Linked DNA regions of Anolis sagrei. The protein of the gene in region 1 purifies or fractionates together with the protein of each later gene. This does not show direct contact. Links are inferred from orthologs where the notes say so. Each region holds a gene or a part of one and is shown in the gene's direction. Other genes may lie near its edges. The genes, in order: EP300, DDX5, STRAP and EWSR1.

The links.
Region 2: the proteins of EP300 (region 1) and DDX5 purify together in Homo sapiens (affinity purification with western blotting; 5 studies listed by BioGRID and IntAct, with this or other methods). This does not show direct contact. The link is inferred for Anolis sagrei from reciprocal best matches to the Homo sapiens genes EP300 and DDX5.
Region 3: the proteins of EP300 (region 1) and STRAP purify together in Homo sapiens (affinity purification with mass spectrometry; 3 studies listed by BioGRID, with this or other methods). This does not show direct contact. The link is inferred for Anolis sagrei from reciprocal best matches to the Homo sapiens genes EP300 and STRAP.
Region 4: the proteins of EP300 (region 1) and EWSR1 purify together in Homo sapiens (affinity purification with mass spectrometry; 3 studies listed by BioGRID and IntAct, with this or other methods). This does not show direct contact. The link is inferred for Anolis sagrei from reciprocal best matches to the Homo sapiens genes EP300 and EWSR1.

What each region holds. Positions count from the first base shown.
Region 1 is NC_090025.1:161,827,760-161,834,815, reverse strand, and holds the start of EP300 (histone acetyltransferase p300), read left to right. Parts: upstream 1-4,044; 5' UTR 4,045-5,658; coding exon 5,659-5,752; intron 5,753-7,056. UniProt on the Homo sapiens protein: Functions as a histone acetyltransferase and regulates transcription via chromatin remodeling. Acetylates all four core histones in nucleosomes. Histone acetylation gives an epigenetic tag for transcriptional activation.
Region 2 is NC_090022.1:179,768,380-179,776,138, reverse strand, and holds the start of DDX5 (probable ATP-dependent RNA helicase DDX5), read left to right. Parts: upstream 1-4,740; 5' UTR 4,741-4,861; coding exon 4,862-4,893; intron 4,894-7,759. UniProt on the Homo sapiens protein: Involved in the alternative regulation of pre-mRNA splicing; its RNA helicase activity is necessary for increasing tau exon 10 inclusion and occurs in a RBM4-dependent manner. Binds to the tau pre-mRNA in the stem-loop region downstream of exon 10.
Region 3 is NC_090025.1:181,635,654-181,643,007, forward strand, and holds the start of STRAP (serine-threonine kinase receptor-associated protein), read left to right. Parts: upstream 1-4,335; 5' UTR 4,336-4,537; coding exon 4,538-4,649; intron 4,650-7,354. UniProt on the Homo sapiens protein: The SMN complex catalyzes the assembly of small nuclear ribonucleoproteins (snRNPs), the building blocks of the spliceosome, and thereby plays an important role in the splicing of cellular pre-mRNAs.
Region 4 is NC_090034.1:48,575,896-48,583,809, forward strand, and holds the start of EWSR1 (RNA-binding protein EWS), read left to right. Parts: upstream 1-4,892; 5' UTR 4,893-5,014; coding exon 5,015-5,027; intron 5,028-7,914. Other genes in the region: RHBDD3 (rhomboid domain-containing protein 3), read right to left, coding at 67-217, 1,070-1,288, 1,377-1,539, 2,111-2,494, 3,262-3,419, 4,266-4,279. UniProt on the Homo sapiens protein: Binds to ssRNA containing the consensus sequence 5'-AGGUAA-3'. Might normally function as a transcriptional repressor. EWS-fusion-proteins (EFPS) may play a role in the tumorigenic process.

The sequences.
Region 1 (7,056 bases):
ATGGGCAGAACAGCTGTCTGTCACCACCTTCTGAGAACAACCATCTAGATAGGAAGAAAGTCACTAAAGAGTGATGTCATATAACACAGGGTTAGAGGAATTTTGAACGTCACAGGTTTTGTACTATAGTTACCATAATATTTTACATTTGACTATGTTTGAGAGGACTTCTTAGAGTTACATTCAAAGCTATTTGAGAGTGAATGTGTCCATACCTGTTACAAAATGCACAGTCAGCCCTCTGCATTCACTGGGAGCCCTTCCACACAGCCATATAACCCAGAATATCAAGGCAAAATATCTGGAATATATGGCAGCATGGACTCAGATAACTCAGTTCAAAGCAGATATTGTGGGATTTCCTGCCTTGATAATCTGAGTTATATGACTCTGTGGAAGGGCCCTGGGACTGGGGACACAGAACCTCCATGAAAGTGAAACACTTAAAATAAAAACGTTGCTATTTTGGTTGTTTCTTATCTATTGGTATTATATAAATCTTAATAAACACAAAAACCCAACTTTTTAAATGTGAGAGAACAGTTTTCTGTGATTTATAGATGCTGGAAGCTGATTATCAAATTGCATTGAAGGGCCATTCCTAGGGCCCTTCCACACAGCCCTGTAGTAATTCTGTAGAATTACTGACAGTGGGTTCATTGCAATGATGAACATTATTATTATTATTATTATTATTATTATTATTATTATTTGTCGTGTCAGGAGTGACTGCAAGTTGCCCCTGGTGTGAGAGAATTGGCCGTCTGCAAGGATGTTGCCCAGGGGACACCTGGATGATTTTGATGTTTTTATCATCCTTGTGGGAGGCTTCTCTCATGTCCCCGCATGAGGAGCTGGAGCTGATAGAGGGAGCTCATCCGCCTCTCCCCGGATTTGAACCTGCGACCTGTCGGTCTTCAGTCCTGCCGGCACAGGGGTTTAACCCACTGCGCCACTGGGAGCTCCATTATTATTATTATTATTATTATTATTATTATTATTATTATTTGAAACAAGCGGAGTCCACAGCAGACAAGATCACTCTGCTGGCTGTTGAATTGGGTCACACGTGTCCAAGTGTCTAGGACTGTGTGATGTATCGGCGAATGATGCGTGCAGATCCCAGTAAGGTGGCCTTCTGCAGCTGGCAGATGGTAATTTTGTCAGTGCTGATTGTGTTTAAGTGCAGGCCAAGGTCTTTAGACACTGCACCCAGTGTGCCGATCACCACTGGGACCACCTTGACAGGCTTGTGCCACAGTCTTTGCAGTTTGATCTTTAAATCCTCATATCGTGTCGGCTTTTCCAGTTGTTTCTCTTCAATCCTGCTGTCACCTGGGATTCAACATCGACAATCCATACTTTGTTTTTTAACACAATCGTGAGGTCAGGAGTATTATTATTATTATTATTATTATTATTATTTTACTGACACAAAAGCACAGTATGTCACAGCAAACAAGATCTATATGCTGGATTTCATATCAAAAAATCACAAGTCGAACACTTCCCAAGCGTTTAGGACTGTGTGATGTATTTTCAAATTATGTGTGCAGATCTAAGTAAGTGGCATTTTGCAGTTGATAGATCGCGATTTTGTCCATGTTTATTGTTACCAAATTGTTTGGCACGGCACCCAGTGTGCTGATGACCACTGGGACCACCTGTACTGGTTTATGCCAGAGCATTTGCAGTTCAATTTTGAGGTCCTTATAACAGCCAAGTTTTTCCTGTTGTTTTTCCTCAGTGCAGCTGTCATCCGCTATGGCGACATCAATAATCCAAACTTTTTTCTTTTCCACAATCGTGATGTCTGGTGTATTGTGTTCCAAAACTTTGTCAGTCTGGATTCGAAAGTCCCACAGTATTTGTGTGTATTCATTTTCCACTACTTTTGCAGGTTTATGATCCCACCAGCTCTTCACTACTGGCAGGTGGTACTTGTGACATAAGTTCCAATGAATCATTTGGGCCACAGAGTTGTGCCTCTGTTTGTAGTCCATCTGTGCGATTTTCTTGCAACAGCTGAGGACATGATCAATGGTTTCATCCACTTCATAGCACAGTCTGCATTTTGGGTCATCAGCTGATTTTTCAATCCTGGCCTTAATGGCATTTGTTCTGATGGCTTGCTCCTGGGCTGCAAGAACCAGGCCTTCTGTCTCCTTCTTCAGGGTTCCATTCGTGAGCCATAAGCAGGTCTTCTCCTTATCCACTTTTCCTTCAATTTTGTCAAGGAAATGCCCATGCAATGCTTTGTTGTGCCAGCTGTCAGCTCTGGTTTGGAGTGCAGTTATCTTGTACTGATTCTTTGTCTGCTGTGCTTTGAGAAGTTTCTGATTATTGACTTCAATTAAAGCAGGTTCTTGGCTTTCCTTTACATATTCTGCCAGGACGTGTTTTTCTTCTTTGACTTGTAGAAGTCCTCTGCCCCCAGACTTTCTAGGCAGATAGAGCTGATCAACATCACTGCGAGGATGTAGTGAATTACAGTCATGAATTTTCTTGTTTTTCTGTCCAAATTGTCCAGTTCTGTGTCCAGTTTATGATGCCAGCAGTATATCTTATGACAGGTATGGCCCAGGTATTTTTGGCCTTGATGGTGTTGCCTCCATTGAGCTTGCTTTTGAGAATTTTTCAGACCTTTTGAATGTATTCTTGGCTGACCACAGTTTTCACATGTTCATGTTTGATAGTAATAATAATAATAATAATAATTAGAAACACAACAAGATGAGTCCACAGCAGACAAGATCACTCTGCTGGTTGTTGTACTGGATCACACGTCAGACACTTCCTAAGTGTTTAGGACTGTTGTTATTATTATGGTTGTTATTGTTGTAGATGGGGCCCTGGTATGGTGACATCAATAATCCAAACTTTTTTTATTTTCCACAATCGTGATGTCTGGTGTCTTGTGTTCCAAAACTTTGTCAGTCTGGATTCGAAAGTCCCACAGTGTTTTTACGTGTTCATTTCTCACATTTGTGTGTTCATTTTTACAACAGGCCCATCATGAACCTTTGCAGGTTCATGATCCCACCAGTTCTTTACTGCTGGTAGGTGGTATTTGTGACATTATTATTATTGTTGTTGTAGATGGGGCCCTGCAAACCGCCTCTTCTTCGCCTCTGAGGCTGAGCAGAGAAAATGGGGTTCTCTAATTCTAAGTGTGGGGGAAATGTGTTGCTGTGTGTGTTCCGGAGAAACTAGTCTACACAGGAAGAACAGGGCGTTCTTGCCGCCTGGACATACTCTGGTTTCCTGGTGATCGCGGAAGAGAGGGCGACTCTCTGCTTCGTGTTGAGTGCCAGACAGCAGGTGTGGTGGGGCGGCCTTGGGCGGCGTCACACACTCTCGGCCTCAGTCGGGACCGGCCCGAAGGCCAAGCATGGAGGCCGGGACACCTTGGGCTGCCAGGCCGCCTTCTGTTATCCCAGAAGGGAGAGGCCTGGGTCCTGGCAGGGAAAGCAGGGCGAGAATGGCGTAAGAGGGGAAGGAGGCCTTTGCCCCTCCGCCCTCAGGCTGCGCCGTGATTTATGATTCTTACGATGGCCAGTGTATAGGCAGAGCACACAATCTGGATAATATCCCTACGTGTGTGTGTATATCTAGATCTATACGGGGCCTCGCTCTCTCTCTCTCTCTCTGCGGTCCCTGCGGCGGGGCCTCCTCCCAGCCTGCCTCACTCTCCTCCTTCCCTCCCCCCTCCCTCCTTTTACAACAGGCCTATCCTTAAAATCTCAACCTGGCGGCTGATTTTGGCCGACGGAAAAAAAGGCGGAGGAAGGGAGAAGGGGAAGAGATGTGCGCGTGCGCGCGCCCTCCCCTTTAAATCGCCGAGCAGGGTTTTTTGTTTTTTTTTTGCGGAAGGGGGAGCGCGCGAGCGGAGTGGCCTAAACCCTCGCCTCGTGACCGCAGCCGGCTCGGGCTCGAGCTCGGGCCCCGCCCCGCGCGCGTTCCATTGTGTGCGCGAGCCTGCGTGCCGTCCCCGCCCCTTTTGCCCCTCCCTTCCTTCCCTCCTCTTTGGCCACGCCCCCCCTTTCCCCCCTCTTGGCTCATTTCCGGCCGCGGCTGCTTGGCTTCCCTCGGAGGAATCGGGAGAGAGAGAGAGAGAGTGAAGAAACAACAGCCGCCATTTTGTTTGTGTGTGTGAGAAGAGAGAAGAGAGCGCGACTGGCTCCAGGGAAGAGAGGGAAGAGAGAGGACGGAGAAAGAGAGACAGAGACAGAGAGAGAAGGGGGACCGGGGAGAGAAGGAAGGGAAAGAAAGGAGGAAGGAAGGCAACGACGGCTGAGTGAGATCCGGGCACTCCTCGGTTCAGGGAAGAGTCGAGGCCAGCCGAGAGCGTCGCCGACCCGTCTTGCTCCCGGCCTGGGCTTGGGACCCCACCCACAGCGCCGAAGGAGGAGGGCTTGGGGCCTGTGGCCTGGCTCCGCGCCTCCTCCATTCCCTCCCTCCATGGCGGGCAGGAGACGGAGCCCTCCGAGTAGCAGCAGAAACGCCTGAGGCACCACCACCGCCGCCGCCTCGGCTCCGGAGCCCCGTCTCCCTCCGCCTCCTCCTGGCTCTCCATTAGCCAGTCGCCCTCCTTCTTTCCGGGGAGGGGAAAAGAGGCAGCGAGAGGGAGAGCGAGAGAGGGAGGGGGAGGGGCCGTCCTAGCTTCCTCCTCCTCCTCTGGGATCGATCCCTCCGCCTGACCAGAAGGGGGGTACCCTGCCACAGAGAGAGAGAGAGAGAGAGAAAGGAAGGAAAGGTAGAGGAGGAAGAGAAGAGGAAGAAGAGCCCTCCTCCCTCTCTCCTTCCCTCCTTCCCTCCCTCCATCGGGACAACAACCCCCTCCTCCTTGTTCCTGCACAACAAGATGTGAAGCGGGGACTCCTGGGACTTCTCTGCTGCTGCTGCTGCTGCTTCATCCTCCTTTCCTGCAGCCATTGGTAGTGACTGACTGGCCGGCCAGGGAGGCGGCGGTAGGGGGAGCCGGGGACCCCCTTTTCCTTCTCCTCCCTCTCCACCTGGGGGCCATCTCGTCGGCGGGGAAGCGGGGACGGTTCTCCTTCGCCTTTTCCTCCCCCCCGCTCCTCCTCCTTCGCCCGCCGCCTCCTTGTGGCGATGAGGAGGAGGAGGACGACGCCGAGGAGGAAGAGGTTGATGGCGGCGGAGAAGAGGCAGCAGGAGGAGGAGAAGAAGAAGGAGGAGGCGACCACGACGACGGCGTTGGCTTCCACGGCGACCCCCCCGAGGAGGATGGCGATGAAGATGGTGGCGTTGGCGGCCGCGAGGAAGCCCCAACAGCCCCGCAGCCGGATTTGAGCCGGCTTGGGGAACCCATCAAGTCCTGCTCCCTTGTTGTTACTCTTTTTGATCCTCTGTGGCATCCAGAGAAAAAAGACTGCTTCTGCTGCTGCTGCTTCTTCCACACCCTGTTTCTTCATCTCTGTTTTCTCCCCTCTTAGTCGCTGCTGCTACCCAACGGAGACAGATCCCGAGGGGCATTAAAAGAAAGAAAAAAGAGGAACTTTGTTCTTTTCTTCTTCTTCTTCTTCTCGTATTTGTTGTTGTTCACTTGATTCCTGATCCGAGGAGGTGGCTTTTGCGGCACTGGAGATCGATCCCCGTCTTCAATTTGGGCTCTGTTTGTCTAAAAAAGAATTAAAAATGGCCGAGAATGTGGTGGAGTCGGGCCCGCCTTCAGCCAAGAGGCCTAAACTCTCCTCACCGGCTCTCTCTGTCTCTGCAAGCGATGGCACAGGTCAGTTTTGGGGAGAGATACCCCTCGTTTTCCCTCACTGCACTCTGGGAGCCTTCTCTTCCCTCTTGGGCTCCTTTTGCTCCCATGTAGTCTCTCCTCTTGCTCTTCTATGAACCCACTTTTACACTTGGCTGCATTAATCAGTTGTGGGGTTTCAGTGCTGTTGCCTTTCATATCGTTGAAGAGGCTGAAAGCCAGTCTATACTGGCTGGTTTACCTGTGTGGCCATTTGCTGTCTTGAAGGCTCCGTTAACATTGTCTCTTAGTATTTGCACAATGCCTTGTACTACAGTATATACCTGGCATGGGCAAACTTTGGCCCTCTACTACATCCACACTATGGTATATACCAGGCATGGGCAAACATTGGCCTGCCAGGTGTTTTGGACTTTAACTCCTACAATTTCTAACAGCCAGTAGGCTGTTAGAAATTGTGGGAGTTGAAGTCCAAAACAATCTAGAGGACCAAAGTTTGCCTATGCCTGGTATATATCATAGTGTGGATCTATACTGGCTGGTTTACCTGTTTGGCCATTTTTCTCTTTAGTATTTCTATAATGCCTTGTGCTACAGTATATACCAGGTATGTGCAAACTTTGGCCCTTCATGTGTTTTGACTTCAACTCCTACAATTCCTAACTGCCAGTGGGCTGTTAGGAATTGTGGGAGTTGATGTCCAAAACACCTGGAGGGCCAAAGTTTGCCCATGCCTGGTATATATCATAGTGTGGTTTACCTGTGTGGCCATTTGTTGTCTTGAAACCTCTGTTAACACTGTCTCTTAGTATTTGTACAATGCCTTGTGCTACAGTATATACCAGGCATGGGCAAACTTTGGCCCTCCAGGTGTTTTGGACATCAACTCCCACAATTGTGAAATTGTGGGAGTTGATGTCCAAAACACCTGGAGGGTCAAAATTTGCCCATGCCTGGTATATATCATAGTGTGGATGTATGTTCATTTTCTCATGTAACAGGGCATTCAGTGCCAGCCTTCCTTACTCCTTAATGTTATCAATATTCTGATTTGAACCATTGCTTGTTTCATTTCCACTAAATGGAATGTAGCCAATGTAGATGAATAGTGTTCATATTGGCATTTTTGTCAAAGCAGTTTCACCAGATTTGCATTGAAAACAACATGGATTCTCTTCTTAAACTGCATGTTTGTTTCTTTGTGAGTCCAAAATGTCTGAAATTCCGATAGTCTTGCTACGTTTATGAGGACATGGACAAATCATCTAGCTGTCTTTCCTATATTTTAATGATGGGTTTATTGATGGGCCTGTGAGTTTGGATGGAAA
Region 2 (7,759 bases), on another chromosome or scaffold:
TTAGTGCATCTACACTGTGGAATAAGTGCATCATGATATCCCTTTAGATGCCATGGCTCAATGCTTTGGGATCCTGGGATTTGTAGTTTGGTGAGGACACAGCACTGTAATAAGAAATTCAATGTACAGATTTGATAAATGTTAATTTAATAATTATGTGTGGGAATGAATGGAAGAATGGAAGTTGTATGTGTGGAATTAATAATTTTGGAGACCCTACTAAAATACTAAGGCCTTGGGATCCTGGAATTTGTAGTTTGGTGAGGACACAGCACTCTTGCAGAGAAGGCTAAAGAAAAACCTTGAAAAACAACAGTATTTATGGTATCATAGCTTTAAGCCATGGCAGTGAAAGTGGTGTCAAACTGCCATAATTCTACAGTGTAGCAGCACCTATAATTTGAATTATTTGAATCTAGGCCCTCTGTGGCGGTTGTATTCTCTTCCCTTGTGAAAGATGGCAATGCAGTGACTGCCTAGTACTGCAAGAGCCCCATTTAATCCATTGTCTAAAGGGGGGTTACACTTTCTTTCCAGCTGTACTCTGTTCCATCAATATTGTGAGTGCTCTCCTCCTTCAGTTTCATGTTTTCATTTACGAGCAATATAAAATAATGTATTAGAATTGCTGCTACACCTTTTCCATTGCTCTCTTCACTTCCGGCATATAAACAGGCAACATGTTAACCCCTCCTGGGTGTCTTTGTATTGACAGGCAAAGCCCTGTAATTTTTTTTTTTTTTTGCAGACTTTGAGCACTAAAGGTTTCCAAGACCTTTAGTACTCAAAGTTTGCAAAAAAAATATACTGCTATGTAATTAATTTTCTGAGTCCAGATGATCTGCTTTGAACCTGATTATATGGCAGCGTAGGTCCAGCCTCTGTTGATAATCCAGTTCAAAGCAAATCATCTGGATTCAGAAACTGGATTACATAGTAACCTAAGAAAATAACTTTTAAGAGGACATTGTCTTGTTTTGTGTGTTGAAACTCAACCAGAGCAAAATTTTATAAGACTGCACCATTTTGAATGGTTTTTACCCATTGACTTGTACATTTTAAATTGTTTCTATGTTAATGTTGATCTTTTGTATGTTTCAACTATTCTGCAATCGATGTAACTGATGGTGATGATAAGTGGATAAATTGCTACTATTGCCAAAACATTGCTTTGCAGATTCGATTGACAAGGTTTGACATGATAATGCAGAAAATTACAACAGGGAGTCCCCAAATTACAAACATCAGACTTACAAATGACTCATAGTTAAGGAGGGTGAGACAACAGGAAGTGAGAGAAATCTACTCTTCGGAAAGAAAATTCACTCCTTATAGTGGGAAAAAGGTGTTTCCACTTAAGCTTTCTCCCCAATCTTTGTTTCCACAACAAACTATTTTTTTTTCAAAATCCAATTATCACAGGGACAGAAGGTGAGGTGAAATCTTCTGAACAGGGTCACGGGCAGCAAAACAAACACCACAGGGCTATTAACTTTTCCCTATGCTGTCCAAAGCTTATAGAAATATGTGGCTGGAGTTACATTTCAAAATGTATGTGTTCTTACATACAAATTTAACTTAAGAATAAACGTACAGAAACTGTCTTCTTTGTAACTTGGGGACTGCCTGTAATGGCCTCGTCTTATAATCATGCAAGCGGTACAGGGAAAATATAGACTTGCTTGTGAGTGCCTTTGTTCTAGTGTAATTGAGCTTTTTGGGGTGTTATTTTGGAGTGATTTCACGATGGAACATCTCAAAGGTCGGTATACTTTTTTCAGCTGGGACTACTATGCTTTTAATTGACAAGTCAAATCTAGAAAATTCTAGTTACCCCAGCAAAGCAATGGAGTGACAGGAGAAAGTTTATCTATTGAAGCTGTGTTGGATTTGAACAATTAAAAGCGTAGGAACCCAACTAGGAGGAGGAAGAGCAGCATCTAACTGCTCAGGGGATCATGAATGCCTTTAGATTGCTTCATAATAGATTTATCACAATTATGTGCCCCTCTGACTTCACAGCAAGGTCTTTATAAAATCCTGGGGATACTGTTGGCCCAGTTTGATTGTGCAGCTGTCATTGGATGCATCTACACTGTAGAATCAATGCAGTCTGATACCACTGAATGTGATGGAATCACTGGAGTTATAGTTTCCCAAGGTCTTTAGCCTTCTGTGGGATCTTGCCAAACTACAAATCCCATCATCCTACAGAACTGGGCCACATCAGGTAAAGTGGTTTCAAACTGGATTAATTATACAACATAGATACACACAGTTAATCTGGATACTTAGCTTGTACAACTGCAGTTTATCAAACCTATCTTGAGGGAAAAGTTATTATGAATCTCGTAATATTTGTGTGCTATGTATAGCATACAATCTTCTATACACAATCTTCTTCCTGATGGAAACAGCAACCTTCTCAAGCCTCTAGTCTACTGGTTATTTGTTATGTATATAATTGCTTACTATATTTATTTGTGTATTGGTATGCAATTTGACCTTAATTCTTTGTTGTGGGAGGGGCTGCAGACATTGTGACACTTAAAACGTTAGCATATAAAATATAAATTCATATCAAGTCAATAAAAACAATAAAAACGTATATCCTCAGCATCTCCTTACTGAAATAATTATTCAATCACATCGTCAGTTATCAATGTTTCTTCAATAAATATTTTCCCATCTGCTTTTAAAAATGTTACTTTTCCTTAGGCCTTTTTAAACCTGTAAATTAAATGTTAATTTATCATTTACTGCTCATTTCCATATTTCCTTATACTATTCTTCTACCTTAATTTCTACTCCTCCTTTCCCATTTTGTGTTATTAATAGCCTTGTTAGATGCTGGTGTAATGTCAGGAGATAATGCTTCTGAAACATGACCATACAGCCTGGAAAACTCATAGCAACCGGTTCACAACATCGTTATCAAATTCTTTATGATTCTAGATTATCTGCTTTGAATTGGATTGGTCCCCACTGCCAAATAATCTGGGATAATCAGATAATCTTGGATGTAGATCCAGCCTGAGATCATATAATACAGTCCTAACTGCATGAAATGACTGTGTAGATAGGGTGATAGGCCCCAACTAAACTCTGATATAATCCATTTTATAATATATATATTTATAATGTATATTTTACAATATAATGGGTAAAAACAATTCAAAATGGCGCAGTCTTATAAAATTTTGCTCTGGTTGAGTTTCAATCATTATAATTTATATTTTACTAGCTGTCCCCTGCCATGCATTGCTGTGGCCCAGTCTGTTGATCTGGAAAATAAAGTAATGAGAAAATGTTGGTTTCTAATATATGTAATTTGTTTATGGTTGTGGGTAAGCATATTTCTTGCTGTTTCTTTGTCAGTGTTGATGCGGAGAGTGTCTGGTTTGCCCACCCTGGAACATATAGGATATCATTGTCCTTCTTTAGGGGTCCCTTTCAAATCTATGATACTATATCTCTCTCTGTGTGAATCATATCTATCTATCTATCTATTCCTTGATGGCTCTTTGTCAGGAGGACTTTGATCATGTTTTCTTGCCCTGATGAAGGGAGTTGGGTTAGATGGCCTTAAGTATTTTCTGTTGGTCGTGGGTGTTCTGTGTGGGAAGTTTGCCCCAATTCTGTCGTTCGTGGGGTTCAGAATGCTCTTTGATTGTAGGTGAACTGTGAATCCCAGTGACTACAACTCCCAAATGTCAAGGTCTGTTTCCTCCAAACTCCATCTGTGTTCATATTTGGGCGTATTGAGTGCTTGTGCCAAGTTTGGTCCAGATCCATCATTGTATGAGTCCATAGTGCTTTCTGGATGTAAGTGAACTACAACTCCCAAACTCAAAGTCAATGCCCACCAAACCCTTCCAGTATTTTTTGTTTGGCATGGGTGTCCTGTGTGCCAAGATTGGTTCAATTCCATCGTTGATAAGAGTTCAGAATGCTCTTCGATTATAGGTGAACTATAAATCCCAGCAACTACAACTCCCAAATGACAAAATCATAATTTTTGAGTGGTCACTCCTTGTGTTGTAAGAAGTTTTGTTGCCAAATTTGGTATAATTTCGTTCACTGCTTCTTTTGTTTTTAAGATGCTCATTATCCACAGAGCATTTTTATAGATATAGATAATAATAATATAAATATAATCCTCCTAGGGCCTTTCCACACAGCCATATAACCCAGAATATGAAGGCAGGAAATCTCACGTTATCTGCTTTGAACTAGAATATATGGCAGTGTGGACTGAAATAACACAGTTCAAAGGCGATATTGTGGGATTTCCTGCCTTGAGATTCTGGGTTATATGGCTGTACGGAAGGGCCCCTAGCCAACAAGAGAGGATGCGTGACAAACGTCCTCACGTACAGGAACCAAGCAGGGTCAGTGCCCGGAGCCGAATGAGAGCCGGTCTGCGCATGCGCGCTCAGAGCTGCGTGGGCGTCAGCCGTGGAGGCCGAGCCAAGCCTCACAAGGCGCCCTGGGCTCCAGCGGCTACTAGGCCGAGTGGGAAGCCCCGCCCCTTTTTGTCCGAAGGAGCCGAAAAGCCGGCCGGCTCCAGCTCCTGCGCTCCTTATAGGCCGAAAGAGGTGCCCATCACTGTAGCCCCGCCCCATCGCCTTTGAAAAAAAAGGAAGAACGTTGGAAGTGGAATCTGGAGGGAGGGGCGGGGCTCTTTAGTGACGTCACGAGCCGGCTTCCCGGCATTCGCGGCGGCGCCGGCTATATAACCGGCATCCGCCCGGCGAGACACTCCCCATTCAGTCGCCCCCGCCATCGGCTTTGCGGTTGATCCCAGCCTGCTTGTGTCCCTCGCCGTTCCGTCGTTCAAGGCCCTTTCTTCGTCGTCAGCATGCCTGGCTATTCCAGCGACAGGGACCGCGGGTGAGACCTGAGGGGGCTCTTTTGAAGGATGAACTCTGACGGGGAAGAGCGGGGGGGGGGGGGCTCTAAAATGGCGGCGGGGGGAGCCGGGGGTATTTAAAATGGCGGCGGGGGGAGCCGAGAGTGGCCAAAATGGCGGCGGGGGCGTTTGGGAAAAAGGAGAGGCGTGGGGGGGAATTCAGAAACGGGTTGAGTCTGGGAGGGGGAAGGAAAAGGGAATGGTTAAATATCTGAAAGGATTGTGGTGGGGAAATAGAAGGACCTCCTTTTCCTCCTCTCTTTTGTCTCTCGTCCCCGCCATGCGGTGGCTGAGGGGAAATCAAAATGCCGGCGGCTGCCTCCTTTGTTCCTCCTCTCTCTCCTTTCTCTCCTTATCCCCGCCCCGGCGTTAAAATGGACGCGCGCCGGCTTAGAAAATGTGGCGTAGACGGGGGAAAATAGGCCCTCAAAGCAAGGGGAGCCCCTCCTGTCCAGCTACCCGCCTTCCAGGCTTCCCTTTCCGTCCCTCTTCCTCCATTCCTTCCAGACAAAAGCTGAGCGGGGACGGATTTACTCCTCGGCTGGGGTTTTAGAGGAGACTTTCGATGGAAAAAGGGGGAGGGGGGTTGCGCATGCGCAGTGGCGCCTTGGCGTTTTTCTCCCTCTGTGAAAGAACCCTAGAGTTGAAGGGCCAATCCAGTTCAACCCCGTCCTGCCTGCCACGCGGGGATACACCATCCAATCACTCCCGACAGATAGCCATCTGCTTTGAAAAAACTCAAATTATGTGTTATGGTGGAACTCCTGAGATGTGGATGTTTATGTATGGTTCTCAAGAAAAGAAAAGAAAAGAAAAGAAAGGGAGAAAAAGGGGGGAAAAAGAAAAGAGAAGGGAAAGAATTTTTTTAAAAAGAAAAACTCCAGAGAAGGAAAGTCCACCATGCTTCCTTTTTTTTAAAAAAAAAAGAAGAAATATAATCCCCTTTGTTCTTTAAAAAAAAAGCTGCTTACCGGAATTGTGTCGGTTTCACAATCCTCCCCCACCCACTTTGAGGCACTCCCTCTCTGCGTCAAGACACTCAACAATTACGGAACAATTTTTTTAAAAAAAACAACACACATCCTTAACAGTTCAAGCTTTTTGTCCTGTATCACAGTGCATAGATTATAGATTGTAGTCTATACTATAGTCTATATAGGCTATATAATAGTCTATATAGACTATATAATAGTCTATATAAATAATTCCAACTCCCTTCATCAGGGCAAGAAAACGCAATCCAAGCCCTCCTGACGAATTGCCATCCAGCCATAGATATCTATATAAATAAAAATGTAATGTTCGTTTGTGGGATTAACAGAACTCAAAAACCACTAGACGAATTGACACCAAATTTGGCCACAAGTCACCTACTAACCCAAGGAGTGACCATCACTCCAATAAATTGATATTGTTATTTGGGAATTGTAGTTGCTGCAATTTATAGTTAACGTACAATCACAGAGCATTCTGAACCCCACCAACGATAGAATTGGGCCAAACCTCCCACACAGAATCCCCATGGAGATGGCTAGTCTATATAAATAAAAATGTAATGTTCGTTTTTGGGATCAACAGAACTCAAAAACGACTGGACGAACTGACACCAAATTTGGACACAAGACACCTAACATCCCAATGTATGTCCTTCACTCAAAAAAGTTGATTTTCTCACCAAAAATGGCAGTGAACCAAACGTGGCATACAGGACTCCCATGACCAACAGAAAACACTAGAAGAGTTTGGTGGGCATTGACCTTGAGTTTGGGAGTTGTAGTTCACCTATATCCAGAGAGCACTGTGGACTCAAACAATGATGGATCTGGACCAAACCTGGCACAAATATTCCATATGCCCAACTAGGAACACAGATGGAGTTTAGGGAAAATAGACCTTGACATTTGGAAGTTCTGGTTACTGGGATTTATAGTTCACCTACAATCAAAGAGCATTCTGAATCCCACAAACGATAGTATTGGGCCAAACCTCCCACACACAACCCCCATGACCACCAGAGTGGCCCACAGCAACACGTGGCAGGGGGCAGCTAGTAATAATAAAACTTTATTTATACCCCGCCATTATCTCCCCAAGGGAACTTGGGGCAACTTACATTAGGCCAAGCTCAATAAAATGCAGTTGCTTTGCTTGTCCTCTAAATCTTGGATGTTTTAATATTTGGATGTTGATAGTGATATATTAATATCACTACCACAATTAATTAATATTATTAATTATATATTTTTATTTAGAAGAAGAATATTGTATGCTACTATAAGTTTCTATCCACCTTATTGAACCACCCTATCTCTTAACCAGTTCGCATAGTGGCCTCCCCCCCTCCCTAAAATTAATCTGCTGTTGTTTTTTATAGTTGTTTATTACTGTTTATGATATTTTATGCTATTTTGTTATTGTTTTGTTTTTAATTGTATGTTGCCTTGGGCTTGGCCACATGTAAGCCACCAAGAGTCCCTTCGGGGTAGAAAAATAAAGTTACGATACTATACAATCATGTATAGTAACATTTACGATATTTCTACCCTACCTTTCTCAAACCCACAGGTGGCAAATGATATGATTAGAGCGATAGTATTATTATTATTATTAATAACTTTGTTTATATTCCACATCTCCCAAAAGGGACTTGGTGTGGCTTCCAAAAGCATGTGTTAGTGCAGTGCTATATGTACAATACAGTAAAACGAATTAATGGCACTCCATGCAGTCATGCTGGCCACATGACCTTGGAGGCGTCTACAGACAACGCTGGCTTAGAAATGGTGCTCATCTCCAGCTTAGAAATGGAGATGAGCACCAACCCCCAGAGTTGGACTCAATTAGACT
Region 3 (7,354 bases), about 20 Mb from region 1:
CTAGTTTGAGATGGTTTGAGCCGCTTTCACTCTTTTGTAGTGCCATCTAGTGCTCAGTCTTATATCTGCAAGCTAGAAACATACTGAGAGTGTCCCATTTTTCAATTGATTCAGTCCGGTCCAGTCCCCAATTCTTCAAATAAGGGCCTCTTTATAGAGGGTTAGACTGGTGAACCTGGCATTATTAAGCATTTAACATTTTTGACAGAATACATAATCAATAGACAGGTTTCTGCCACCTTATGGCCTTCCAGATGTGGTTGCACCTCAATTGAAGATTGACTATGAGTGCATCCCTAGCATTGTGAAAGTTTGACAGCACTTTCACAATGCTAGGGAATCCTGGGAGTTGTAGCTTGGTGAGGCCCCAGCATTCTCTGGCAGAGAAGGCTACGGACCTTTTTAAAACTACAGCTCCCATGATTCCATAGCAGTTGAAGTGTTGCCAAACTGCATTCAATCTACAGTGTAGATCAGGCATGTACAAACTCCGGCCCTCCAGGTGTCTTGGACATCAGTTCTCATAATTCCTAACAACCTACTGTGTACAGCAGTGTTTCTCAACCTGGGGGTTGGGACCACAGGGGGGGTGTTTCAGAGGGGTCGCCAGAGACCATCAGAAAACATTTTGTTTGATGGTCTTAGGAAGCTCTTTGGCAGAGAAGGCAGAAGATCTCTCAGTCTGTCCTTCTCTTCCTTTTTCTTCCCACCAAAAGCCCTCCTCCTGCTGTGATTGGCTGGCTTCTCAGCCAAGGGGAGGGCTGTTTCCGTGACTCCAAGGGGAGAGGGGAGAGCAGGCGTGCTCTCCCTTAAATTATTGTCAATTCCTCCCAAATCCCTCCAGTATTTTCTATTGGTCATGGGGGTTCTGTGTGGGAAGTTTGGCCCATTTCTATCATTGGTAGGGTTCAAGTAGTCTAAACATCCCGTTTAGACTACTGCAACGCTCTCTATGTGGGGTTGCCCTTGAAGACAGCCCGGAAGCTTCAATTGGTCCAACGTGCGGCAGCCATGTTACTAACAGGAGCGGGACGCAGGGAGCATACAACGCCCTTGTTGTACCAGCTCCACTGGCTTCCGATTTGCTACCGGGCTCAATTCAAGGTGCTGGCGTTGGCCTATAAAGCCCTAAACGGTTCCGGCCCAAGATACCTATCTGACCGCATCTCGGCCTACGAGCCCACCAGGACTTTGAGATCATCCGGGGAGGCCCTGCTCTCGATCCCGCCTGGCGGGGACGAGAGACAGGGCCTTCTCGGTGGTGGCTCCTTGGCTGTGGAACACCCTTCCCGTGGACATCAGACTGGCTCCTTCCCTGATGATATTCCGCAGGAAATTAAAAACTTGGCTGTTCAAGAAAGTGTTCGAACAAGAAGTGCAATAATTGGTAATGACGACAGGAATGGAACAACGGAAAATGATACTGGATTGTGGTTTAAACGATGAGACGACATGAATGGCTTTTTGTATTATTGATATTGTTGATGTTTTTGATGATGATGTCTTTGGTTATTGCTAGATTGATATTTTAGATTGCGTCTTGACTTTTAAACCTTGTTCTTTCTATGTTGTACACCGCTGTGAGTCGACCCCAGGCTGAGAACAGCGGTATATAAGCAAAGTAAATAATAATAAATAAATAATAAATAAATAACTGCAACTCCCAAATGACAAAAGCATTATTTTTTGAGTGATGGTCACTCCTTGTGTTGTGAGACATTTTGTTGCCAAATTTGGTGTGATTTCGTTCATTGGTTCTTTTGTTTTTAAGGTACACATTATGCACAGAGCATTTTTTAATATATAGATATTGTAATTGTGTCCTTGGTGGCAATGAATTGCCTTGTAAATCGCCTTGAGTCGCCGGAAGGCTGAGAGGGGCGGTATAGAAATGTACTAAATAAATAAATAAAATAAATAAGTCCAAAGAAACCTGGAAGGACGAAGTGTTCCCGTGCCTGATCTACACTGTAGATTGAATGCAGTTTGGCACCTCGAGTCTTTTTTAAAAAAAGCAAGGCTGCATCTCTCCTCAGATTTTGTTGCCTCAGAAACGACGGAGCGGCCTAACAAGATCCCTACTGTAGACTACTTCAACCAGAGAAGTCAGCCATAGCAGAGCACCTGATGAACCAGCCTGGACACAGCATATTATTTGAGAACACGGAAATGCTGGACCACTCTCACAACCACCATGCCAGGCTACACAGAGAAGCCACTGAAATCCACAAGCATGTGGACAATTTCAGCAGAAAGGAGGAAACCATGAAGATGAACAAAATCTGGCTACCAGTATTAAAAAACTCTAAAATTAGAACAGCACAACAACAGAGAGGAAACAAACAAGGACATCTAATAATCTCTCAGCAAAAGATTGCTCCAGGCACTGCCAGACAAGGCAGTCATAGCTAACGTCTACATGGAACACTTTGAAGAACAAGCCCTGGAAACAGCAACCAAAAAGCCCACGATATGGTTCAGATATGTGGATGACACCTTCACCATTTGGAGCCATGGAGAAAAAGAACTCAACAGGTTCCTGGACCATCTTAACAGCATCCACCCAAACATCCAGTTCACCATGGAAAAAGAAAATGAAGGAAGACTGCCTTTTCTAGATGTCCTAGTCATCCGCAGACCAGATCAACAATTGGGTCACACCGTCTACAGAAAACCCACACACACAGATAGATATCTATATAAAAACTCCAACCATCACCCAAGTCAAAAAAGAAACACCATTAAAGCCTTGGCAGACCGTGCAAAAAAAATCTGCGAACCCCACCTCCTCCAAGATGAACTGAACCACCTCAACTGGGCTCTCCAGGCCAATGGAGACTCCACCTCAGACATCAGAAGAGCTGCAAGACCAAGAACAAGCCACAAGAGTAAAGATGAAGATCCACCCAGAGGAAAAGTGTTCCTGCCATACATCAAGGGAACCACTGATCGCATAGGAAAGCTGATGAGGAAACACAACATACAAACAATCTACAAACCCACCAAGAAAATCCAACAAATGCTACGTTCAGCAAAGGACAAGAGGGATCCTCTCACCTCTGCAGGAGTCTACCGTATACCATGCAGCTGTGGACAAGTCTACATAGGGACCACCAAACGCAGCGCCCAGACATGCATCAAGGAACATGAAAGGCACTGCAGATTACTTCAACCAGAGAAGTCAGCCATAGCAGAGCACCAGATGAACCAGCCTGGACACAGCATATTATTTGAGAACACAGAAATGCTGGACCACTCCAACAACCACCATGTCAGACTACACAGAGAAGCCACTGAAATCCACAAGCATGTGGACAATTTCAACAGAAAGGAAGAAACCATGAAAAGGAACAAAATCTGGCTACCAGTATTAAAAAACTCTAAAATTACTACAGCAAAACAGCAGAGAGGAAACAACCAGGCACATCTTAACACCTCTCAACAGGGTATTTTCCCAGGCTCAGCCAAGACTTCAAATGCTAATGAAGGTGATCAGCTGAAACATTCACACCTAGCTCCAGCAGAGAAGCGCTCTTTGCCCCACCCCAGCCATTCCACAGATATATGTCCTAATTCCAACAGACCTCACTACCTCTGAGGATGCTTGCCATAGATGCAGGCGAAACGTCAGGAGAAAATGCCTCTAGAACATGGCCCTATAGCCCGAAAAAACCCACAAGACCCTAGTGATTCTAGCCATGAGAGGCTGGATGGCCATCTGTCGGGGGTGCTTTATTTATTTATTTATTTATTTATTTGATGCACTTATTAACCGCCATTCTCAGCCCTTACGGGCGACTCATGGCGGTGTACAGTACACATAAAAAGACAGTTACAAAGGCCAGTATCAACAACATATAACTATACGACAAATACAAACTACATAAAAATCCGCTTCGTCTCTTAGTAGAATCATAGCCAGTCTCATCTTCCTTATACCATTCCAGTTCTCATTACCGTAATGTTGTTGCTTAGCACTTAATTAAATGCCCTCTCGAACAGCCAGGTCTTAAGGCTTTTTCGAAAGGACATGAGGGAGGGCGCCTGTCTGATGTGTGCCGGGAGAGTGTTCCACAGCCGGGGGGCCACCACCGAGAAGGCCCTCTCCCTCGTCCCCGCCAATATTCCTCTTTCTAGGCAGGGGGCTGGACTGGATAACCCATGAGGTCTCTTCCAACTCTAGGATTCTATGAAGAGCTTGGCGATGACGTCACTTCCGCTCTGCAGCCCTTTAAGAATAAGCTTTCCATGCCTCTCCCCTCCCGGGACAGGAAACCGGAAGCGGCTCTATGGTTTCCTAGGCGGCGGCGGCGGCTCAGCACTTCCGGCGACGGCCATTTTTCTCCCCTCCTGAGTTCACTTCCGTTGCCGGCGTGCCGTCGTCTCCCTCTCGTCGTCAGCGGCTCGGCCTTTCCCGTGGCTTTGAGGGAGCCAGCGAGGGTCGCCTTCCTCTGCCTCTCTCAGCGGCCTCTTTCCTCCTCCAGACCCCGCCGCTTCCCTTCTTCGTCCACCCTCTGCTTCCCTTCCTTCGGCCGCCATGGCGATGCGACAGACGCCGCTGACGTGCTCGGGCCACACGCGGCCTGTGGTGGACTTGGCCTTCAGCGGCATCACCCCCTACGGCTACTTCCTCATCAGTGCTTGCAAAGGTGAGCCTCCTGGGGGTGTGGGGGAGCTCCTGAAGGCAGTTTGACACCACTTCAACTGCCATGACTCAATAATATAGGATTCTGGGGTTTTGTGGTTTCTCAAGGCTTTTAGTGCTGGTGCCTCACCAAACTACAACTCCCATGACTCCTTAGCGTTGAGCCATGACAGCAAAAATGATGCCAAGTTGTATTCATTCCATGTATTGTCGAAGGCTTTCATGGCTGGAATCACTAGGTTCCTGTGGGTTTTTTCGGGCTATAGGGCCATGTTCTAGAGGCATTTCTCCTGATGTTTCGCCTGCATCTATGGCACGCATCCTCAGAGGTAGTGAGGTCTGTTGGCATTAGGACAATGGTTTATATATCTGTGGAATGGCTGGGGTGGGGCAAAGAGCTCTTCTCTGCTGGAGCTAAGTGTGAATGTTTCAACTGACCACCTTCATTAGCATTTGAAGGCCTGGCTGAGCCTTCATTCATTCCGCTGTATTCATTCATTCTGCTGTATTCTGTATTCATTATGCTGTGTAGATCAGACATGGGCTAACTTGGGTCCTTCGGGTGTTTTGGACTTCAACTCCCACAATTTTTAACAGCTCGCTGTTAGGAATTGTGGGAGTTGAAGTTGAAAACACCCGGAGGGGCCAACGTTTGCCCATGCCTGCCCTAAGTGCTACATAAATAGGAAAACAACAACAATAAGAAAACTTTATTTATACCCCACCACCAAATCCCCAAGGGACTCGGGGTGGCTTACATGAGGCCAAGCTCAACAACACATCAATACAAGAAAGCAATACACAAAAACAATACAATAGTATACAATTAATATAAATAGCATATAAACAATAAGCAATAACACACAAGGATTTAAAAACCTATGGTCGGGCCAAATGCAATAGTTTAAAATTTAAAAAATAAACACTGGGCATGAACAAGGTAAGATATATCTGGTAAGGTGAGGGGAGCGCAATCCAACCCAATCCAATAGTTAAAGTGCAATCTGAGGACATATTGCTGATTCAGTGATTTCAAACTACAATGGTTTCAAACTACAAACAATAAGAACAAGTCAGGAAAATGCAAATTATTATTATTATTATTATTATTATTATTATTTTCTATCCTGCTTTTCTCCCAATTGGGACTCAAACATGTAACAAAAAACATTTCAAAGCATTATTATTATTATTATTGTTATTATTAACTTTATTTGTACCCTGCTAACATCTCCCGAATGACTCGGTGCAGCTTACAAAGGCCAAGGCCCGCTATATCTCTATATATACAGATAGAGATAAAAATAAGCATTATCATCACACCGCAAACATGTCTAATAAAAATATAAATACATAGTAAATAGATAACATGACACAGTTTAAACATTCAAAAAAGTTTTTTAAAAAAAACCACACCTGATATCCATTCCTATGCTGTAGTCAAGTCCATTGCCGGAAGTTCATTAAAATGTATACATTGCACAGATGAATCTGTTGTTTTCAATATCCCTCTCCTTCAGGGAAGATCTGCTTCCATAGAAATTTAGATCCCTAAATGAAAGCAAGGAGGGAGACATTCTAACCTCTTTAGGAAAAGAGTTCCAGAGTCTTGGGTACACCTCTGAAAAGGCCCACTCTCTTGTTCCCACCAATTGCACTTGAGACAGAGGCAGGACCGAGAGCAGGATCTCTCCCGAGAACCTCAGGGCACATGTAGTTTCATAGGAGAAGATGCGGTCAGCTAAGTAAGTTGGGTTCGAACTGTTAAATTGCAGAAAAATTGAACAAAACAACAACTATGGAGGAACCACTTTTTACAGGGTGTATTCCTGCTAACTAATAATAAAAATCGTCATAACAACTTTATTTTTTATATCCTTCCACCATCTCCACAAAGGGAGCGGCTTACTAGTGGGACGAAACCCAACACAACAGGGTTTATCACTAAAAATACATTTAAAACATAATAAACTTAATAATTCAATTAAATATTTAAAAACAACTATGAACTGAATCAAAACAAATGTCACTAACCAGAACCAGGAATAAGATGGGCAGGATCAAAAATTAGCGAGTGCTGGACATGGACTTGTACAAATAGCAGATTATAGGGCCAGGGCTGTGGAAAAGTGCTGAGTTCACTCTAATGGACAATTGAGGCTGGGCGTTCATGGACAGGGGCCTAATCATTCTCAAACACACATTGGAACATCCAGGTTTTAAGGTCTTTACGGAAGGTGGACAGATTGGGTGCCAGTCTAATCTCCTGAGTCCCCTTCCGGGGGTTGAGAAGGGTGGGGCAAAAATGCTGTAAATAAATAAAGCCGGAGGACCACCACCGAGAAGGCCCTCTCCCTCATCCCCACAAACAACAGTGCTGGATTGTTGCTTATAAATCCCCAATTCATTTGCCCCTTTGTCTGCTTAAAATATCTGATATGTCTGGTTAGAAATGAGCCATGGTCATTCATAACTAAGTTACATGTGTTACAACAGCTCTACTCCAGATATGACAACCACTAGTTTTTGCCTATGGTTATGAACAACATGTATAAAATACTTACTTTAATAATAATAATAAGAAGAAGCTTTATTTATATCCCGCCCTCTCTCCCCAAAAGGACTCGTGGCTTATAATAGAAGAAACACAATGTAGTAATAGTAAACATACAATCAAATCAAACTTTCAAAACAATATAATTAAAGCAT
Region 4 (7,914 bases), on another chromosome or scaffold:
GAGGCAATTTGACTGCACAGATCATCCGTGATCCTAGACCATCCGGTCAACACTGCGAAGAATGTCCTACTTCCGGTCAGGAGGGACCACCACCACGGCATCGTTTCCAACATGGCCGCCAATCAGCAGTGAGACGGCACCCTCGACGTGGCCCACTGCAGCCAAAGCAACCACTGCCTCTTCAGTGGCGAAGCCCATTTTTTGGAGCTGCTGAAGCCTGCAAAAGAGAATGGATGCCTTCAGAGTCTACCCATCCTCATCCAACCCCAACCAAGCCCGAACCTGAACCCACTCTATATTTCGGAGTCGATTCATTGTAACCCTAACCCACTTGGTATTTCGGAGCCTACCCATCCTCAATCTAATCCTAACCCACTCCATATTTCAGGCTCTACTCATCTCCACCCTAACTCTAACCTACTCTGTATTTTGGAATCTACCCATTCTAAGACTAATGCACTTCATATTTTGGAGTCTACTCATCCCAACTCTGATATGCCCATCCCAAGCTAGATATGAGATAATGACTCAGCATTCCATATTTTGGGGCCTACCAATCCTAACTGTAACATACTCTATATTTCAGGGTCTACCCAAACCTAACCCACTACATATTCTGGAGGCTAGTCTTCCCTAGCATTACCCTAACCTAACCCTATCTTGGGTTTACTTCATATTTTGGCACCTACCCAATCTAACCCTAACTCTAACCCATCCACTACCTGACTCTAACATCTCTAACCCTAACTCCATCCCCACTCTAATCTTAATCCAACCCCACCCTAACCCATCCTAACCATAACCCACTTCACAGTTCAGAGTCCACCCATCCCCAAACTAATCCTAATCCAACTCTGATACATTCCATATTTCCGAGTCCATTTATCATCTATCTATCATTGCCGTAATCCAATGTGTATTTGGGAATCTACCAAACCTTAACTAACCCAGCCTAACCCCAATTTTTCAGAGTCTACTCATCCCCAGCATGACCACAACCCTAACCTGACCCCAACCTAATCCTAACCCACTCCGTATTTTGGAGTCTGCTCATGGTCCACCATTTTACCGGAGGGACGAGACGGATGATTTGGAAAGTGTGACCTCTTCCTTGACCATGTCTTCCAGGGAGGCCTGGATGCCGGCTTGGAGCAACTCCTCCTCTATTAGGGCTTCCTGGAAGGCAGAGAAAGGTACAGCAGGGGACAAGGAAGGACTTCCTCTTGTCTGTGATGGGGATTCACTTGGGAAAAGCTCTGGGAATTGAATACTGGATGCTGCGTAAATCCTGGGAAGGAAAATGAATGTGAGGTCTGGTCTAGGGGTAAGTCAATGTTCATACTGAAAAGGAATCAAAGTGGGTAACATAGGCTTACTCTTGTGTTTTAGCAGCTGCCATGGGGTTCGTAACCGGAAGGCTTCTGGCTTCTGGGGGCCGGACGAAGTGAAGGAACGGAGGGATTTGGATTTGAATCCTGCTATGTATCCTTTCTAAGAACCTGTCCGATGGTTCAAGGAGAAAGAAAATCCCAGCACGGTCTGAGATATGTCAAGGATTAAAACCAGATTTGTTGCTATTTTTGACTTCTGACCTTTGACTAATGTTTCCCAACGACAGTATTTTTTTTGAGAGAGAGACTCCCTTTGGTTTTGAGCTACTGGACGTGGACTACATTGTGGCTACTTTGGACAAAAGGCCTGTACCTTCCTTACGCTCCCTGTAGGTCATTTGGGGTAATTGGTGGCCAATTTTGACCCCTGGCCTTTGGCTAAACATGACCCAAGGATATCTTTTTGGAAGGACTCTTTCACTATTGGACTGCTAGTCATTGGAGCCAGAAAGAAACCAGAAGGGCTACACTTGGGTTACTTTGGGCTAGAGGTCACTTTTGAATGTTGACCTTTGGCTAAATTTGATCTAAGGCGAGAGTGAGGTTTTGAAGGGGGGAGAAGACACCACTATTGGCTCAGCAGACCAGTCATTTGGAGGTCTTCCTCTCCCATGCTCCCGAGAAGTCATTTGAAGGTATCTATACTCATTTTTGACCTGTACCTTTGGACTAAACATCACCCAAATCTATATTTTGGCCAGTTTAGGATTCAAGGATACACGCCAAACCAGTCAAGAGGCCACAGATATGGAGGAGGAAGGATGACTGGGGTGAAAGGGCCTGGGTCAGCCCCACCAGTGCTCCGGCCAGCAAGGCGGTGGACATCCAGCCAGAGAGCCCCTTCCGCCACTGCTGAGAACCCAGGAAGACCAAGTGGACCGGAGTGTAGCCACTGACTACAGCATTTGAGTGACCGCCCCAAAGTCCGGCCAGAAGGAGGTACATCAAGGCTGAGATGACCGCCCCAAGGACAGCGGTGTAGAGGAAGTGTATGGTGCCCATGCGCAATTCTGGCCGCCATCCAAAGAGCGGGAAGAAGAGAAGGCTGACTGACAGGAGAGAGATGTCTGAATGGCAGAGGCAGTATGTTACGAGGCGGAAAGCTGCAGGGAAGAAATTGACACAGGTTATTGCGCACTCAAATCCGTCAAAATATGGGCAGAAGGTGACAACTAACAAAAAGGGAGTCCTTCCCAAAAAAACACGGTGCATAACAGGATCCTCTGTGGGATACAATTCTCACGCAATCACGGACCTGGGTATTTTTCACAATAGTGGAATTCTGTTCTCCCGCAATAAAGGGATACTGTGTGTGAGCAACAGTGTAATAGCAGGACAGGAGTATTGCTATTGCTCAGAAGCATAATACAGTTTTTGCGAATTACAAATGGGCACAGTATTTGATGCACAATAGCAGGATATAGGTATTGTGGTACAGAATAATAAGGTTATTTGTGGAATAGCCCAATAGTTACAGTGCAAATGAGAAATAGTTAGGGTCCAATGGCATAATATAGCTGTTGCGCGATAGCACAATATTCCTGCACAAAATGGCATATTGGCTATTGCTCAATGTTGTAATATCATTATTTTACATGTAAACAATATGTTGCTTTTCCAATTTCATAATATGCAATTGCATATTAGCTTGATATAGGTAAGTGTCCAATCGCACAATATAGTTGCCGCGCATGGTAGTGTAAAATAGCAGAAATGTGAATGGGCAATAGCAGAAACTGTGGTGGGCGATAGCATGATACCCTTTTTTGCGCAATCATGGGGAATGCTTTCCTTATTTTCTGGCTGAAGCATGCCATAGGGTCGCTCAGAAGGGCCAACAAAAGCCAGTGCGATTCTATGGCTAGCCTACCTTGCAAGGGATTTGTGAGCAGGCCGGGCACTAAGGCCAAACCCTCCTCAATGTCCATCCACCAAACAAGGAAGAGAAGTCCCATGAGGCTGGAGGAAGCAACAGGGGGCCACTGCAAGTCCCATTGTCCACGCCAAAGCCGTCGTATCCGCATTCCCCTGCAAAGCAACAAGTCCTGTGATTGAAAGAGTCCCTTTGGGGAGAAAGGACAGGTGAAAAATAAAGTATTGTTCTTATTATTACAACTTATGATATAGTACAATCAGAGGCGGCCCTAGATAATTTTCAATGGTAAGCAAACTGTATTTTGCCCCCCCCCCCCCCAACCAATCACTGATATATATTTTCTGTTTGTCGTGGGAGTTCTGTGTGCCATATTTGGTTCAATTCCATTATTGGTGGAGTTCAGAATGCTCTTTGATTATAGGTGAACTATACATCCCAGTAACTACAACTCACATATGTCAAGGTCTATTTTCCTCCAAGAGCGCCCCTGAGCAACATCAACTATACTGCAAATGCTTACTTTGCGTAATGGGTTGAGCCGCCCCTGAGTACAATGTATTATATAATTGTATAATATATATAATATATAATATATATAATAGTATAATATACTGCTAGTGTATTATATACATTGTGGCATAATACTATAGTACAAGATAATAATATATAATAATATAATTGTTTATTATATATTACTAATAATATTGCAGTCTAGTGGTATAATAATTTATAATGCTAATATTGTGCTATACTCATAATATAATATATACATATAATATTATTAATAATATTATAATGAGTCCCCTTGGGGAGATAGGGCAGTATGTTTTATTATTATATAACAATAATATTGTAATTTACCAATACTAATAATAAAAATAAGTAATACTGATAATATACAATAATATATCATGGTATACTGTTTTATTGTTGTATATTTGAAGTTGTAATGTTTTTGATTGTGAGCTATCATGCCCAGTCCTGCTTTTCAAACTCACCTGGACAGAACCATTTCCTCCCCTCTATGCAAGCCTTTGCTGTCTTCGCACCCCTATTTCCCTTCATTGGAAGAGTCCAAGACTCATCGTTGAATAAGAAGAGCAGGGGATACCAAGGAGAATAAGGGGGCGGGAAGAACGTGGCGTTCTTCTACATTGGCCTTCATTTGCTCCCTCCCGCCCCCTTTTCCCTTTCATTGGAAGAGTCCCGTGCCATAGCTTCCTAACAGAAGGTCGGAAGAGTCGAAGTCGGAAAAGGGGGTGAATAAAGCTGCACAGTGGGAGGGGCTTAGGCTTAGACTCCTCCCATCACTCAAGCTCTAGCCTCATTTCCCCCTCACTTCACTGTACCCTTTCGTTGGAAGTGCAAAAGCTTATACAAGGGCGGGAGATACCAAAGCGGATAAGGGGCGGGGGAAGTGATTCAATTTCCTCTCTGGAACGAATCCCTCTTCCATTGCATTGGAAGACTCTGAGAACGAAAAGCTTCGACAAGAAGGACGGGGGATGCCAAAGTGGTACAAAGGAGGGAAAAGCGATTAACACCCCTTTCCTTTCCATTGGAACAGTCCCAGATTGGGTTTCTATATAAGGAAGGCGGGCGAGGCCAAAGAGAGAAAAAGCGGGTGAAGAAAGAGGCGGCGGAGGAAGAAGCGAGTGGGGCTCCTTTGCGCATGCGCGGCATAGAGCCCGTTGGAAAGGGGCAGGGCTCAAGCGGCTGAGAAGAAGAAGAAGGAGGAGGAGGGAAGATGGCGTCGACGGGTGAGGCTGGCTCGAATGAGGGCCGCGTGAAGTGGGAAAAGGAGGGAAATGGGCCCCTCTTGAGGGGAATTTAAGGGAAACTGGTGTGGGAATATTGGCGGAGGCGGACAAACGAAGAGAGGGGTCGCTTTTGAGGGAAAAGAAAACGGTTTTGGGAGGAAAATGGAGGACAAAATGGTTCCTCAGGGAAGGCCCAGGAAGAGGTGGTAAAAAATCACCTTCTAGTTGATGTACTGCCATCTATTTCCTATTTATCTCTCTCTGAAACGCGTTTTTTATTATTTTAAATAACACTTAAAATTTTTTATTTGATTTGATCGATTTATATCCCGCTTTATCACTATTACTCTCAATATTTGTCTATATAATCTACTATTAGCATAGGGCAATATTAGTTTGTTGTTTATTCGTTCAGTCTATATTATATTATGATTAATATTATAGTATTACATTATAATATACTAATAATAATTATTAATCATAATATAATATATTATATTTGAAGTTGTCATGTTTTTGATTGTGAGCCACTTTGAGTCTCCATAGTGAGAGATACAGCAAAATATAAATCAATCAATTTTTATTTTATGCTAATAATGTAGTCTATGTATAATACAAATATTATATATAGACCATATTATTAGCATAAAATAAAAATTGATTTATATTTTGCTGTATCTCTCACTATGGAGACTCAAAGTGGCTCTCAATCAAAAACATGACAACTTCAAATATGCTACAATTAAACAGTATTATAATTATCAAAACTAGTATAATATTATCAAAACTACAGTTAGGTGGATCTGTAATTGGTTAAGTGAACGCGCCCAGGCGGTGATTCTCCCTAATGCTTCCTCTTCATTCTGGAAAGGAGTGAGGAGTAGAATGCCACAAGCAGGGTTCCGTCCTGGGCTCGGTTCTGTTCAACATCCTTATTAATGACTTAAATGAAGGGTTAGAAGGCACAATTATCAAGTTTGCAGACGACACCAAATTGAGAGGGAGAGCCAGTACTCCAGAAGACAGGAGCAGAATTCAAAACAATCTTCACAGACTAGAGCAGTGGTTCTCAACATGGGGTCCCCAGATGTTTTTTTTGCCTTCAACTCTCAGAAATCCTAACAGCTGGTAAACTGGCTGTGATTTCTGAGAGTTGTAGGCCAAAAACATCTGGGGACCCCAGGTTGAGAACCACTGGACTAGAGAGATGATTGGCCAGAACGAACAAAATGAAGTTCAACAGGGACAAATGCAAGATACTCCAGTTAAGTAGAAAAAATGAAGTGCAAAGATACAGAATGGGAGACGCATGGCTCGAGAGCAGCACGTGTGTGGGGAGGAAAGGGAACATGAGCCAACAATGTGATGCAGTGGCTTAAGTCAATGGGATTTTGGCCTGCATAAATAAGAGTATAGTGTCTATATCCATGGAAGTCATGCCAACCTTCTATTCTTCCTTGGGCAGACCACACCTGGAATCACACCTTGTCCAATACTGGGCACCACAATTTAAGAGATATGTTGACAAGCTGGAATGTGTCCATAGGAGGGCAACTAAAATGATCAAGGGTCTGGAGAACAAGCCCTGTGAGGAGCGACTTTAAGAGCTGGGCATGTTTAGCCTGGAGAAGAGAAGCATGAGGGAGACATGATGGGGGCTATGAAAAAAGATGTGAAGGGAAGTAATAGTGAAGTAGGAGCAAGCTTGTTTTTTGCTGCCCTGGGGACTAGGATGAAGAACAATGGCTTCAAACTACAGGAAAGAAAGGAGATTACACCTGAATATTAGGAAGAACTTCGTAACTGAGAGCAGCAGTGGAACTCTCTGCCCCGTTGTGGAGGCTGAATGGCCTTCTCTAGGGGGTGGGCTGTGAATGTGATTTTCCTGCTTCTTGGCATGGGGTTGGACTGGATGGCCCACGAGGTCTCTTCCACTTCTCTGATTCTGTGATACATTATTATATATAATCAGTAGTAATTTTATTTAATATATTGGTGTTACCATATTACATTCTTCTTATTATGTAATAATAAAACTTGATATACCATACTTGATCTCCCCAAGGGGACTCATAATATTATATAACAACAACTTCTTTTTAACGTGCCCTCTCTCCCTGGAAGGGACTCAAGGCAACTTCCAAAAACGAAAAATGGTAAACATTCAATGCCATGTGCAAATAACAAATTAAAACAATTAAAGCAAACAGTTAAAAATAAAACAATTGAACAACATTGGCTAAAAGATACAACATATAACTCAGTCAGGCCTCATAAATAACCCCATTAAGCATTAAAGCTGTTACAATCTATATAAAATATAAACATATAAAAAAACATAAAATATATAAATACGTAGCTCTTCAATAAGTTAAGGAATTAGTTATAAGTATAGTTCTATATATTATTAGCATAGCACAATATTAATATTATATATTATATTGTGCTATACTATTAGACTAATATTTTAATAATATATAATAGAAAATTATATTATTATACTATATTATTCCACCACAATATATTTAATGCACTACCAGTATATTATACTGTTAGCATTCTATAACATATTGTACTATATCATAAATTGTAGTATATATAACATATCACATTAATATATATAATATGCTAGTATTATTACATTACAATGTTATTATTTCTATATATTATTATATTGTATATATAGAGAGAGAATCAGGAATCTTTTTTTTCCTCAGTAGAAATTCCATTTTAAACAATTTTTCGTTATTATTGGTCATTTTATTTTTGGAATCTTTTAAAAGCATTATTTATTGTGATTAATGGTAATTTTATTTCTTTAACCTTTCAAAAATATCTTTTGGATAATTATTCCTTTTTTCCATTGATGATGATTATTATTGGTAAT